Schizosaccharomyces pombe: one gene and its partners. Changing the gene in region 2 together with the main gene of any one other region gives a genetic interaction. Each region holds a gene or a part of one and is shown on either strand. Other genes may lie near its edges.

Region 1 (4,106 bases), on a different chromosome or scaffold from region 2:
ATCCATGAATCATTTAATTAAGAAATATTATCTAGAAGCTCGCCTTTCTTTAACTGTTCATGACGAGGTTCGTTATTTATCATCAGATAAAGATAAATATCGGGTTGCATTTGCCTTACAGGTGGCTAACTTGTGGACTCGTGCGTTTTTTTGTCAACGACTTGGCATCAACGAGCTTCCACAATCTGTCGCATTTTTTTCTTCCGTTGATATTGACCATGTACTAAGAAAAGATGTTAAGATGGACTGTGTAACACCCTCTAACAAAGTCCCCATACCTCCTGGAGAAGAGCTTACTATAGAGTCAGTTCTAGAAAAACTCGAGCAGTCCGGTCAATCACTTGAGCCACTTGAGCAAATTCAGTGTTTTGTGGATGTTAAAGCTACTACTTCAGCAGAGATTACAGAAGAAGACAAAAAAAACATTGCATATTTAAAAGCACAAGCATTTTACTGATCAGCAAAAGAATAATTTATTTTAGTTAAAAAATGTGTTTTTCGGTTAGGATAATTTTAGGGATAGTTATGACATTGAAAATAATTTTCATCAAAAGGTTTGTTTAGTGGAGCGAACGATGGTACTACAAACTGGCTCATGACGAAGGAAAAAAATCATTAAATTAGAGCAAGAAAGACACTTTTGTAACTAGCTGTGTCGATTTTCGGACATTATCGGAAATATTATTAGACAAAAAAAAAACAACGAGATAGTCAAAACATATAGAAACAGAACGGATCAACACGTATGTACACGAAGGGTAAGGGGAGTCTTATGAAAGGAAATCACAAGAAGGTAGCTAGAAAAGTAGCTGAGGAATCGTATTATGCACCAAATATTTTGATGGAAAAGCCATTTTTAACAAGCAGTAAAAGTACCATTGGCCTTGTCAATAGAAGTCTTAAGTGCAGCAACCCAGAGTATAAGTGAATCTTCGTTATCAACGCGAAATTCGATAGGTTTGTTTTGCGTAATTACGGTAAAAAAGTATTTGTGTGAGCTTTCCGGAACGTTTATTTCAGCAACATCCTGAATGTCGGCTATCGGTATCACTTTAACAGGTTTGTACTCTCGGTTCGTGTTGTAAATAGTCATACCATATCCACGAACAACAGCCCAACACTTGGACCACCTATGTAAATTTCCATGTAGCCAGTGAATGGTTCCTTGCATAAGAACTTTATTTTCATCCAAGAGTTTATAGAGATTTTGTAAGGAAGCCGAATGCCTGTGCTTATTCAGCGTATTAACTTCTTGTGGGTTGAAGGGGTAATTTGCATTTTCTTCATTGATACCTGGTGGTCTCAACTTTCCAAACTGTATCAAATCATAAAGTGAAGTACAGAAATGGTCACCCTGACCAGTTTCCAAGTCTAAAGGAGAAGTCGTTTGATTACGAGGTTCAGTCGAAATATTGTCGAAGTCAGTATCAGAGATCTGAACGTTAGGCTCGCTTTCGGTTCGAGATGAAGAGTTCGCAAGGATATAACTGATAGGATGTCTTGAAAACGGTGCCCTATAACCCGTTGTGGATCTTAGAACATGAACCCATTCCTCAGCATCCTCATTTGAAGTGGCAATGAGACGAATTATCTTTTCATTTAAATACAGGAAAAAAGCTAAACATTAGATATAAACATCAAAAATTCTAACGTACTTTTTGGTGATTTTTCTTTGTAGTAGGCAACAGCTGAAATATCCTGAGTAGGGAAAATAAATTTGGTTTTGTACTCCTTGAAGACTGTTAGCGCGTCGTTGAAATTTGCACATTTTATTCACAAACCTTTTCGTCTTTGTAAAAAGATAACTGATCTCTGCGAAGAACAGCCCATAATTGCTTTTTAGTCTAGGTTGTTAGCATCCACTACAAAAAAAACCATGAGTGCAAATATTGACTCTGAAACGGGAAGCAAATAATTGGAATATTCTGAAAATCAATTGGTCAAAGTGCTTGTAGGGTGCTGTTTGCATCATCATATCCCCAAATCAAAAGCGAACAATAAAGAATTAAGAGTACGTATCATTCACTTCTAAGTACACTTCACAAAATTAAAGAATACTCCAAATCCCTTTCCACTCAAACGTATCGTAAATATTACTCAGACAACTAAGTTAATGAATACATACAGAAGTTGCATGTCCTTTCTTTATCAACCATCCGGATTTTAAAACACGCTCAAGCTCTGGAAGCCTTCTTGCTTCATCAAGGCTAGCAGTTCTGAGATGCGATGAAACTCCTGGGTCCATTTCATCAAGCGAATAGTCAAACTAATAAACGCCTTCTTTCTTTTGAATACATCAAGAAAATTCCTTAAACTGAAAGGTGTTAAACTAGAACGATGTAAAGTCGTCCTCTATACAGATTTTGGTTAAAATCACGTTTCCTAACGCATACGTGTTAGTGGTACCAGCGACGTACATATTCAGTAATAGCGTTCATTAACGTATCGCTATTTGTCAAGTGAAATTAAAATGTATGGTAGAGAAATTTCAATAATAGAAATGATAGTACGAATAAATTGTAGCAGTAGAATTGAGAAGCCTTCTTTTTGAAAAAGGTAGTCTGAAAATATGTCATCTTTATTTTGAGAGGCATACAACCATATAGTACATGGACACAGTAATCGTGTAGAAGTGCTACATCTCGTATACTAATTAAGAATCAAAAGAACTTTTGTAAATCCTACTGTTACAGAAATTCAACTTTAGGTTGTATTGGTGCACAGTGGTAAGGGATTGTTGTAAGGACTGGCAGGATGAAAACAAAAAAGCTATTTAAAGGGAGCACTTGTTCGCTGTAACAAAAAGAAAAGCAACAAGAAAGAAATACTTTTTTAAATATTTTTTAGAGAACCACTTTCTCTAATGTAGAAAGCGTTGGTCTTTCCCATTCGGTTCGAGACCTATGAAAGCTACTCAGTAGATACTGAGTTAGTAGGGAGTAGGGTTTAAACGTGATTTTAGCATGGTTTCTTGGAATAATAATAAAAATTCCCTTCCGTCCTCTATGCCATCTTCTTTATGCTTCACTTTACGTCCAGATAGTTGATAGTTTCCGGTCTTGTAAGATGATTATTGATATGGTAAATCAATCACAATCGAATGAAAGATAAAAGAATAAGAGTATGTAACCCTTTAAGATGGGAAATATATCAAGCAAGAATGGGGTTAAAAAAAAAACAATTTTAAAGTCATTAAATCCTTTTTAATACCATTAAATAGTACTAATTTTGCTCGTGAGTAACTAAGGTCGGGTAGCATAGTTGGTTATTGCGCACGACTGTTAATCGTGAGGTCGAGGGTTCGAGTCCCTCCCTGACCGGATTTTTTATGCTTCAAATCAACTGCAGCAAAAACATACGCTCAATCAATTTAATAGAAATTTGCAAACACCCAAGAACATGTTTAACTCAGTCAGTTTACTGCGAAGCTCACATCCAAAAAGCAGGTTTGATGGCGTTTTCCTTTCTACTTCATATGTTAGCTTAGCAACCAAAAATGCTTTATTGAGCCCGTTATGCTGTGAATTTCCAAGCTTTCGAATAAAATTGTTGCATTCGTGTTAAACAATAAAAAATATTTTCCCTACTATTACTGAAATAAAATGCCTTGAGTATCGGAAATCTTTTCAAAATTCAGGATACAAAAAAGATGCCAAATTTTTTTATATTAAATCAAAAAAAGTAAAAGACGTTGAAGTCTTTATTGTAATACCTCTATTAAATGATGGTATAAACTGAGGAAACCTATCAAATATACAGAACAAAAAAAATTATATCCATAGTAATAGTGGTCAAAAATTAGGTATACAAACAAGATTAATGGTGGAACAAACGCAAGGGGATCTCGGAAAAGACCATGTTGAACTCATTAGCAGTGTCGCGAACAGCTTGATCCATGACACTACCGCCAGGTGCAGCAACATATTTGACACCGCTTTGGGCAAGACGATAGATGTTGTCAGGGAAGGGGAAGAAGGCATCACTGGCACAGACAACATCCTTGCAAGTAGCCAAAAATTCCTCCCGCTCCTTTTTAGTAAGAGGCTCGGGAATAGTCTCGAATGCAGACTCCCATTGCTCACGTTCACTACCTTCAGCAGGAACGG
Region 2 (3,242 bases):
AATAGATAAACAAAGTTATCTCCGCTCTTTCCTCTTCGTGTAGAAATGATTTTAGCCATTTGAGTTAGGTCGTCTGAGGGCTGAAATTGGGGACTCTTTGAAGTACCCACGTAAACGAGACAATTCTCCAAAACCGGAATTTCATCACCGGTATGGGCATAAACGGGAACACTATGGGCGGTATAACCATTGACTTCTCTATCATCCAAGTATTCTCGCACTTGCGTCGCATATTTTGCAGGAATGCGAAATGCCATACCCCAGCATCCTTCATCAAACGGGGTGAAAGACCAGTCAGAAAATTGCTTCCATTCTTCATAAGGTATCAAGGTGAGAACGAGACCAGGTGAGTTAACAGTGCCCCTATGATCCTCACTACGCATCCAGAATCTGCGAACATAACCTTTTATAAAACATGGAATACTATAGTCATAGTGAGGAGGCGGATGCCAAATTAAAGAGCCATAACCAAACACCCATAAACTCCCTTCCGGACTAAGTGTTTTCATGAGCGAATTCAGCCCAAGTTTCGTTATTAAAAGGAAACCGGTGACTGTAAACTAAAACGCGAGCATGTTCCGAACCATAACATGAGCTTACAATAGATAACGACGGATAGCAAAATCCCTTATTTTAATTCCTAAATTTATGAAAACTGAAAAAATCGTGTAAAACATATCAACATTAGCGAGTAAAACAGAGCAGAAAAAGCGAATAGCCAGAGAAAGATATAAAATATAGGCAGAATTAATCTTCGGCTAAGTCAAGGCAATTTCTAGGATCTCCTAAAGCATTTCGAACAAACTTAGTATGCCTACCTTTAGCAAAGACCTCATTAGAAGATGTCAAAAAATCAACGCTCGTAAAAGCAATGTTTGATCCTAATCGATCACACTTTGCGTGCAGTAAAATTGATGAACCTAAAGTACCACCACTTTGTAAAAAAGTTTGATTCATATCTATTGACACGCCAGAAATAAAAAGCCCTCGACTGGCCAATGCTAAACTTCCTCCCAAATCAGTGAGTGCTGCAATACAACCGCCATGCAAATTACCCATACGATTTAGGTGATGCTTCTGCAGTTTCAGAGAGCATTCTACAAATCCTGGAACTGCACTTATAATTTGTATATCACTGACTACATGAGCATCAAACCCATTGGTATTTACAAAATCCTGCCAAACAGAACGAACGAAAGAAAGCACCTTAGTACCAGAGCTATTAATTGCCATTGTGTCTTAAAACTTCGTTTAACAGGTATCAATCACTGTAAAAGTAAGTACCTCAGGTGAATTGGTTATGTTGTGGCAGTTCTTGGCTACTCGCAGCAGCGATACTTGTAGTTAGTAAGGATTTACAAGCCATTTGCCTGCCTATAGTAATATCACCAAATCATTATTACAAATGGTAATATAATTAAATGAACATTAAATACAAGAATATGAATATTGTTTGGATTATTCAAATAACGGATATTTTTTTTTTCTAATGACGAGAAGAAGAAATTCATAATTTGAACGTTAAAGAGTTGCATCATTAAAACTTGAATTTCGTATAAATATCCAACACGCGTATAGTTAACATGGCTAATGTTGAGCTTATGTTATATATATGTTTATTGACACCAGTAAATTACTTACAAGTGATTTGAGATTAATTTAATATTTTCTAATTACCACTTCTCTTTTGAACCATCCAAAAAATATTCATTTGACAGCTCGTCTTTTCAAGTATGCGATCATGGGCTGGGCGCCTGTCGTAGTTATGAAAAACATTCTTTTCAAGGAACTGTCCCAAACCAAAACCCCGAGTTCTTTTGCGTACTCTACTGCTTGGTCGAAGCCAGAATCAGTAAGAAAATCGCGAAACAAAATTCCAGGAGTAGCCCGAAGTCTATTTTTTTCCAATTCCCATAAATAAATTTGATCTACTAATGTAGGAGGTAAAAGAGGAACATTCGATCTCATCTGAGGGTGAGCATGAGTTGTCAAGTATGTAATAATTTGCTCCGCTGCAATTCCATTCATCAAAGCACGACGAATACTATCCCGAGTTATCACACCGACAACAAGATTTGAAAAACGCGCCCTTAAGTTAGCAAACAATCCGATGATGGCAATCTGTAATGGGGAGCTTGTGTAAGCATATAATCGGTAATTTGTTTCTACAATAATAAAACCTTTATCATCATCATTTTCACTTTGCTTTCCATGCAATGAGCGATAATCAGTTGTCAGACCTGTTGCCAGTCTGGTTGGATAGAAACGCTTGGAAGTAATTTTTCTTTGATAAACTAATCCATATTCTCTTAGGTCTTCAAGCATGATTTGTTGTGTATCTGTTAAGAAGTCCACTGAGTATGCCCTCCCCAAATCCAAACTTCCAAGCATAAATAAAAAGTGCAAAACCTGAACAGGATCCATATGCGTGTCTTCAGATAGTTTTAAATAATCCAAAAGTAACGTCCAAATTTGAGCATTTATATCCTGTAACAGAAACTGAAAACCGGCACGGGTAATACGTAGCTGGTTTTTTGGACCAGACATTAAACCGCCCCGCTTTAATAGACTTAAGACACCTTCTCCAGGAAATTTAGCTTCCGGAGTTCCTACCATGAAGTGCAAGATTGTTTCCCAAGTTTCTTTCGCATATGCGTCAAGAAAATCAACCGTCACCAAGTGCTTGTCTTCATCGGTACATGGCACGCCAAACGAATTGTGATTTCCTCTAAAAAGCTTAATTAGTTTATACTCAAAATTCAATAAAACTTACCCTCCAGTCAGAGCAGTTATAAATTGTTTGCGAAATTCACTATTTAGAGTGATATATTGTCCATCAAATTGAAATATATGCATCCTAACCAGTTTGTTGAAGGATTCAGATTGATAAACTTTACTCGAAAGTTTGATCCATAAATCGAAATCTGAGAGTGCTACTGGCATAGGATTGAAAAGCATAGACATGACATACTGTCTAGCTAGAATTGGCAATAAACGAAACACAGCAAGACAAGCAGCTGGCTTTTGGTAAAGCCTTGCATGATTTGGTAACTGTTCCAGGAAGTCGTTGATACTAGACTTGAATTCTGCTTGCATGGTGACAATTTGCGAACCTACTTCAAAAGGTTTAAATTGGCGGTTGTAATCTCTCTTTATTCAGCTGAATAGAACAAAATCCAGTGTACTCAACTAATAAACTTATTTACGATTATCAATCTTCCATAAATGCCAGATAAGCAATC
Region 3 (5,259 bases), 3.3 Mb from region 2:
AGAGATAACCTCATCGACGATGTTTTGCAATCCGAGACTTCCGGTAATAAAAGAAAGGAACTCTTGCGCAGATCATGTTTAGCACTTACAAAAAATAAACGGATAGACTCTTATGAACGCGCTCTTTATGGCGCTTTATGTGGAGACTTGAACTCCGTCCTTGATGTGTGCACAACTTGGGAGGATGCGATGTGGGCTTATTATAATAGTATGACTCAGTACAATTTGGATGTTTATCTTTCTTCTAAGGCTCCTCAAACAGAAACACAATTGCCTCCAGTGGATAGTGGTTTAGGCTTAACTCCCGAATTGATTTTTAATTCGCTGAGTAACAGCTCTATTGCTTCAATCCAAGAAGAAGCATCACATCCCCTAATTAAACTTCAAACTCATATCATTTGTAATAAAATTTCGGAAATTTTGAGCTCTGCTCACATACAGTTGGAAGCAATTCGGACTGGAAATGCCCCTGAGTCTGGGGATTTGGTTACACCTCCTCTTCTTCGAATACTGACACACATAATTTTATTTTTGAAGATTTCAGGTCTTGCTGTGGATGAATATACTTCTGACTCTATTATCCAAGCGTATATTGAGTTATTGGCTAGTGCTAAAAAAGTTAACTTGGTTCCATTGTATATTCAGTACCTATCAAATCAAGTGCAGTACGAGGCTTATTCTCGATTCCTTATTCTTGTTGATGAAGAAAGTGCAAGATCAGAACAACTTCAATTAGCAAAAAAATATTCATTAGATATTAATCATGCGGCGTTACTAGCTGTTGAATATGTGTATGATGAAGTTGTCTCTGTTTCTCCCGAAGAAGTTCACACAGTATATTTAAAATCTATTGAGGAGCCAGTTGAACCATCTTATAAAAAGCTCATCTGCACCCTTGAATGGTTATTAATCACTTCACAGACAGATGAGCTGCTCCGATTTGCAAACCTTGTATATCGTTTCTTTTTAAGCATTGGCGAGCTAAATAGTGCATACGATCTTTATACACATATTCCCTCTGATGCTTTGAATACGCTAAGCTCTAGCGATGGTGAACCCGAAAACGATTCTAAGTTTAGAGATGCGTATGAACTGATGAACTATCGAGCTCTCTGCAGAGCACTTAAATTTTATCAAGAATGGGAAGAGCTTTCTAAACAAGAAGTATTTGAAGATTCTGCAGTTACGAAAGCTAGCACTTCTTATAAAGTTTGGAAAAAAAAATTGAATTTTGCCTCTCGTAAATGTGTAAAGTCCTTCACAGACTTACTTCAAGCTAACTGGCTTCACCCGTCTACATTGGAGCTGAAACCAGATGATGATCCTTTGCTTTATAAAACTCTTATGACTATTCGGAATTTGTATGTGCCTGAACTAATTCTCGGTTTGCATAATGTTTATTTTAGCCTTGAGGACTATGATAGCTGTTTTGCTCTGGCTAACGAAGTTGCCAGTGAAGATTTAAAACTTTACCATTGTCTTATTAAAAGTGGCAGACTGGTTGAATATGTTTCTTATTTAGGAAAGGCCGGAGAATGTAGCCTTTCAACCCCTAATGGGCTTTTTTCTTTATAAGTGTCAATGTATAAGAGATTCAATTCGAAAACTAATAGTGATGCTGCAAATGTGGTATCATCTTCGCATTGATAACCAGTTTATCTTAATACGTTGATTTTAAAACTAAGCTGAAAAACTTCCATAACTTTTGACTATTTCTAATATAAATTTTTTTTTCCAAAAAGTTAGACTATGAACTAAATCCAGAATTGCAGACACTTTGTTGCAAACATTCTTATAAAATTGTTTGAAAGTTCGGTTAATTAGGACCATTGCGCAAGTTCTTAAATCCTATAGTCGATTTGAGCAGTCTTTACAAATTTCGACTCGAAAACTGTGTTAGTGGATATATTGTGTAGGGTTTACTTTTATACTCAAAAAAACATTAAAGTAAGCAAATAGAAATATTTGAGTTCTTGACACCAATCTTCACTTAGTAAGAACCCATCGTATACAAGCTATTTCTACTACCACTGAATGTTCACGTTCAGTGCAATTTGCTTGAGGGAGCTTGATGGAAAAAGCGTCTAAAAATAAGGAAAGTGGGGTTAAAAAAGCGAATAACTCTTTTTTACAAAATTTCGGTGTAAATACAGCAGGGAAAGAAAATGAATCTACTTCATTACCAAGGTTGCCCAAAAGCGAAGATGAATCCATCCCAAAACAATCTATAAAATCTAAGAATAAAAAGAAAACCCAACATTTTCTTTCTGATGCTTTTGAAAGCTTAAAGAGACAGGAGATAGATACAAACGAAAAGGAAGTAATCGTCTCCGCGCCTATAACTAGTAAACCAGCTCAGGTTTTTTATAGTAAAAAATTGGAACGTAAGGATGAGGGAATAAGGAAATGGGAGAAAGATCCATTTGCCCCTATCTCAGTAAAATCTGGTGCGTGGAAGAAACCATATACCAAGGTTCCTGAAGTCTCAATAAATAAAGCAACTTCGAAAAGAACGGACTTGATAAATGATAAGCCTATTGTGATTCCAATTCCCAGAGCTTCTACTTCAACGCTATATTTTGGTAAGCACAATAAACCAACTTCTGAAAATAGAAAAGGCCCCATAGGTATACCCACTGAAGAAATCTTAACTTCCCAAAATACTCAAGCAATGCTACATAAACTGTTTGAGAATAATGTGCTGGACAATGTTAAGGACGATTCAATGCAGAGGCAGTCCTCGTTTATTCCTGGCATGCATATACGTCTACTAGATCATCAAGTCCAAGGACTTACTTGGCTCAAATCAAGAGAAACGGTGTCTAAATCTTCGGCTTCCGGCGGAATTCTAGCAGATGATGTAAGTCATGAAAATATTATTTGTTGTTATTCAGTGCTAATAATTTTTTTAGATGGGATTGGGAAAAACTATTCAAATGATCGCTTTAATTCTTTCGCATCCCTTACCAAAGAAGAAGCATTCAATCAAATCCACTTTGGTAGTAGCTCCACTCAGTTTAATTAAACAGTGGGAATCAGAAGTGCAGACGAAAAGCAAGTTGACAGCAATCGTTTATCATGGAGCATCCAGATATAAATTACTTAAAGTAATTCACGAATACGATGTAGTAATAACCACGTATCAAATACTAGTTTCGGAATGGGTGTCTCACAATACTACAGGTACAGACGGCAAATCGCCTACTGAAGCTAAAAGTTATGAAAAGAAAAAGCCAAGCTTGTTTGCCTTCTATTGGTGGAGGATAATACTGGATGAAGCACACACTATAAAAAATAAATCTTCTAAATCAGCTCTTGCCTGTTGCGCATTACAGGGCATCAATCGCTGGTGTCTCACTGGGACACCTTTACAAAACAATGTAGATGAACTTTACTCACTTGTGAAATTTCTTCATATTAATCCATTTAACGACCAATCTGTTTGGAAAGATCAAATTTCTTTACCTTTATGTCAAGGAGAGGAAAACTTGGTTTTTAAAAGACTTCGAATGCTTCTGAGTGTAATCATGTTACGACGAACGAAGACTTTGTTAGAGGCAAACGCGGGCAAAGATGGTACAGGTGGTGCTTTAAAACTTTCAAAGCGTTTGGTGTATAAGGTTATTTGTAAATTTGAAGAAAGTGAACGTGACTTTTACAGTAACTTGGCACGAAACATGGAACGAACGATGTCAAATTTTGTTAATTCGGGGAAATTAGGCAAGAACTATACTAACATACTGTGTCTTCTCTTGCGTCTACGACAGGCTTGCAATCATCCTCAGTCTTTAAATTTTCAATTTGAACAAGACGTTGATGCATTTAATGCGTTGGATGGGGCAGCAAACACGAACAAATTAGCTTCCGATCAAGATGTTGATGATTTGGCAAACCTATTAGAAACAGTTGAAATAGGAAGCCGTAAAAAGTCTTTTTGTACAATTTGTATGGCCGAGCTTCCTCCCGATTTTCATGAAAAAAAATGCAAAGATTGTTCTCGAAATTTTAAAGAATTGGATAAAGGAATTCAAGACCCTAATGATAAGACGCTATACAAGTCATCCAAAATTAGGGAAATCCTCAAAATTTTATCTCTAGATGAACAAGAAGAGGATGATACAGTTCGGGGGTTACGAAAAACAATAATTTTTTCTCAATTTACCACTTTTTTGGATATCATTGACTTACATTTGAGGAAAGCCGGTATAGGTTTTGTTCGGTATGACGGTCGCATGAACAATCGTGCTAGAGAAAAATCTTTGGACCTCCTTCGCTCTGATAGTGGAACTCAAGTACTATTATGCTCTTTAAAGTGCGGTGCTCTTGGTTTAAATTTAACATGTGCAAGTCGTGTAATACTTTGCGATGTTTGGTGGAACCCTGCAATTGAAGAACAAGCTATCGATAGAGTACATCGTATTGGACAAAGACGTGATGTACTTGTTTATAAGCTAGTGGTTGAAAATACAATTGAAGAAAAAATTGTCGAACTTCAGAATCTTAAACGAGACCTTGCCAAGCAGGCTCTCGGAGATGGCAAAAAGTCGGTTTTTACCTCCAAAAAATTAACACTTAATGATCTTTTGTTTCTATTTAACAAGCGTGCCGCGGCTTAAAAATCAGAAGGTGATAAAGGACCTAGCTTTTGAACTAAATTTTTGGTACGTGAATCGTTGTATGACTTTAGACGACTGTTTAATGAATAATATCTACTATTACATATGTTATTAAAAATATTAGAAAATATCATTTAGTCAAATGATTAAGTAAAAGTAAAATACTGAAGGAATGCACCTGGATGTAAATCTATATAAGGTAGATATTTGCCGAATGATACACCATTCGTAAAACATTGTAATCTGAAAAGAAAGCAATTTAGTAACTACCAATCCATGTTTTATAGACACTCATAAGACTCGTGGTAATACCAGCAGCAGCCACGAATCCGTCATTAACCTTAAGGATATCCAGTTCGGCAAGAGGAATTGTAGCGTCCAAAGCGTTTTGCAAAGCAAAGAACAAAATTTCCTTACGCTCTCTGCACAAATGTGGTTAGATATGAAAAATATGCATAAAAAGAAACTTACTTTTGCAAAGTCTGCAAACTGGTCGAATCTTTCTCAGATGCTTCTTGCGTTGCACTCTTGATCTTCTTCGAGTTTTGCTGTAGCTCATAGCATCCAGCTAAACAGGAAGAAAGCAGAGCGACAGCAAGACATTGCTTTCCAATCGTAGAAATCTGCTTTGAATGGGAGCAAG

What was found.
Region 1: mutations in the13 (region 2) and opy1 together harm fitness more than expected from each alone (negative genetic interaction), as found in Schizosaccharomyces pombe (one large-scale study listed by BioGRID).
Region 3: mutations in the13 (region 2) and rhp1602 together harm fitness less than expected from each alone (positive genetic interaction), as found in Schizosaccharomyces pombe (one large-scale study listed by BioGRID).

Annotation. Positions count from the first base shown.
Region 1 is NC_003421.2:944,016-948,121, forward strand, and holds opy1 (protein opy1), read right to left. Parts: upstream 2,370-4,106; 5' UTR 2,246-2,369; coding exon 2,126-2,245; exon of another isoform or gene 1,845-2,125; coding exon 1,782-1,844; exon of another isoform or gene 1,732-1,781; coding exon 1,656-1,731; exon of another isoform or gene 1,618-1,655; coding exon 857-1,617; 3' UTR 501-856; downstream 1-500. Other genes in the region: pog1 (DNA polymerase), read left to right, coding at 1-457; ade10 (bifunctional IMP cyclohydrolase/phosphoribosylaminoimidazolecarboxamideformyltransferase), read right to left, coding at 3,817-4,106. UniProt on the Schizosaccharomyces pombe protein: Binds phosphatidylinositol 4,5-bisphosphate (PtdIns(4,5)P2/PIP2) at the cell membrane.
Region 2 is NC_003423.3:3,753,924-3,757,165, reverse strand, and holds the13 (acyl-CoA thioesterase), read right to left. Parts: upstream 1,318-3,242; 5' UTR 1,234-1,317; coding exon 748-1,233; 3' UTR 517-747; downstream 1-516. Other genes in the region: glutathione-specific gamma-glutamylcyclotransferase Ggg1, read right to left, coding at 1-509; transcription factor TFIIH complex subunit Tfb2, read right to left, coding at 1,708-2,728, 2,774-3,096.
Region 3 is NC_003423.3:435,590-440,848, reverse strand, and holds rhp1602 (DNA translocase Rhp16b), read left to right. Parts: upstream 1-2,040; 5' UTR 2,041-2,071; coding exon 2,072-2,860; exon of another isoform or gene 2,861-2,912; coding exon 2,913-4,616; 3' UTR 4,617-4,759; downstream 4,760-5,259. Other genes in the region: nucleoporin Nup107, read left to right, coding at 1-1,575; peroxin pex11, read right to left, coding at 4,876-5,038, 5,088-5,259.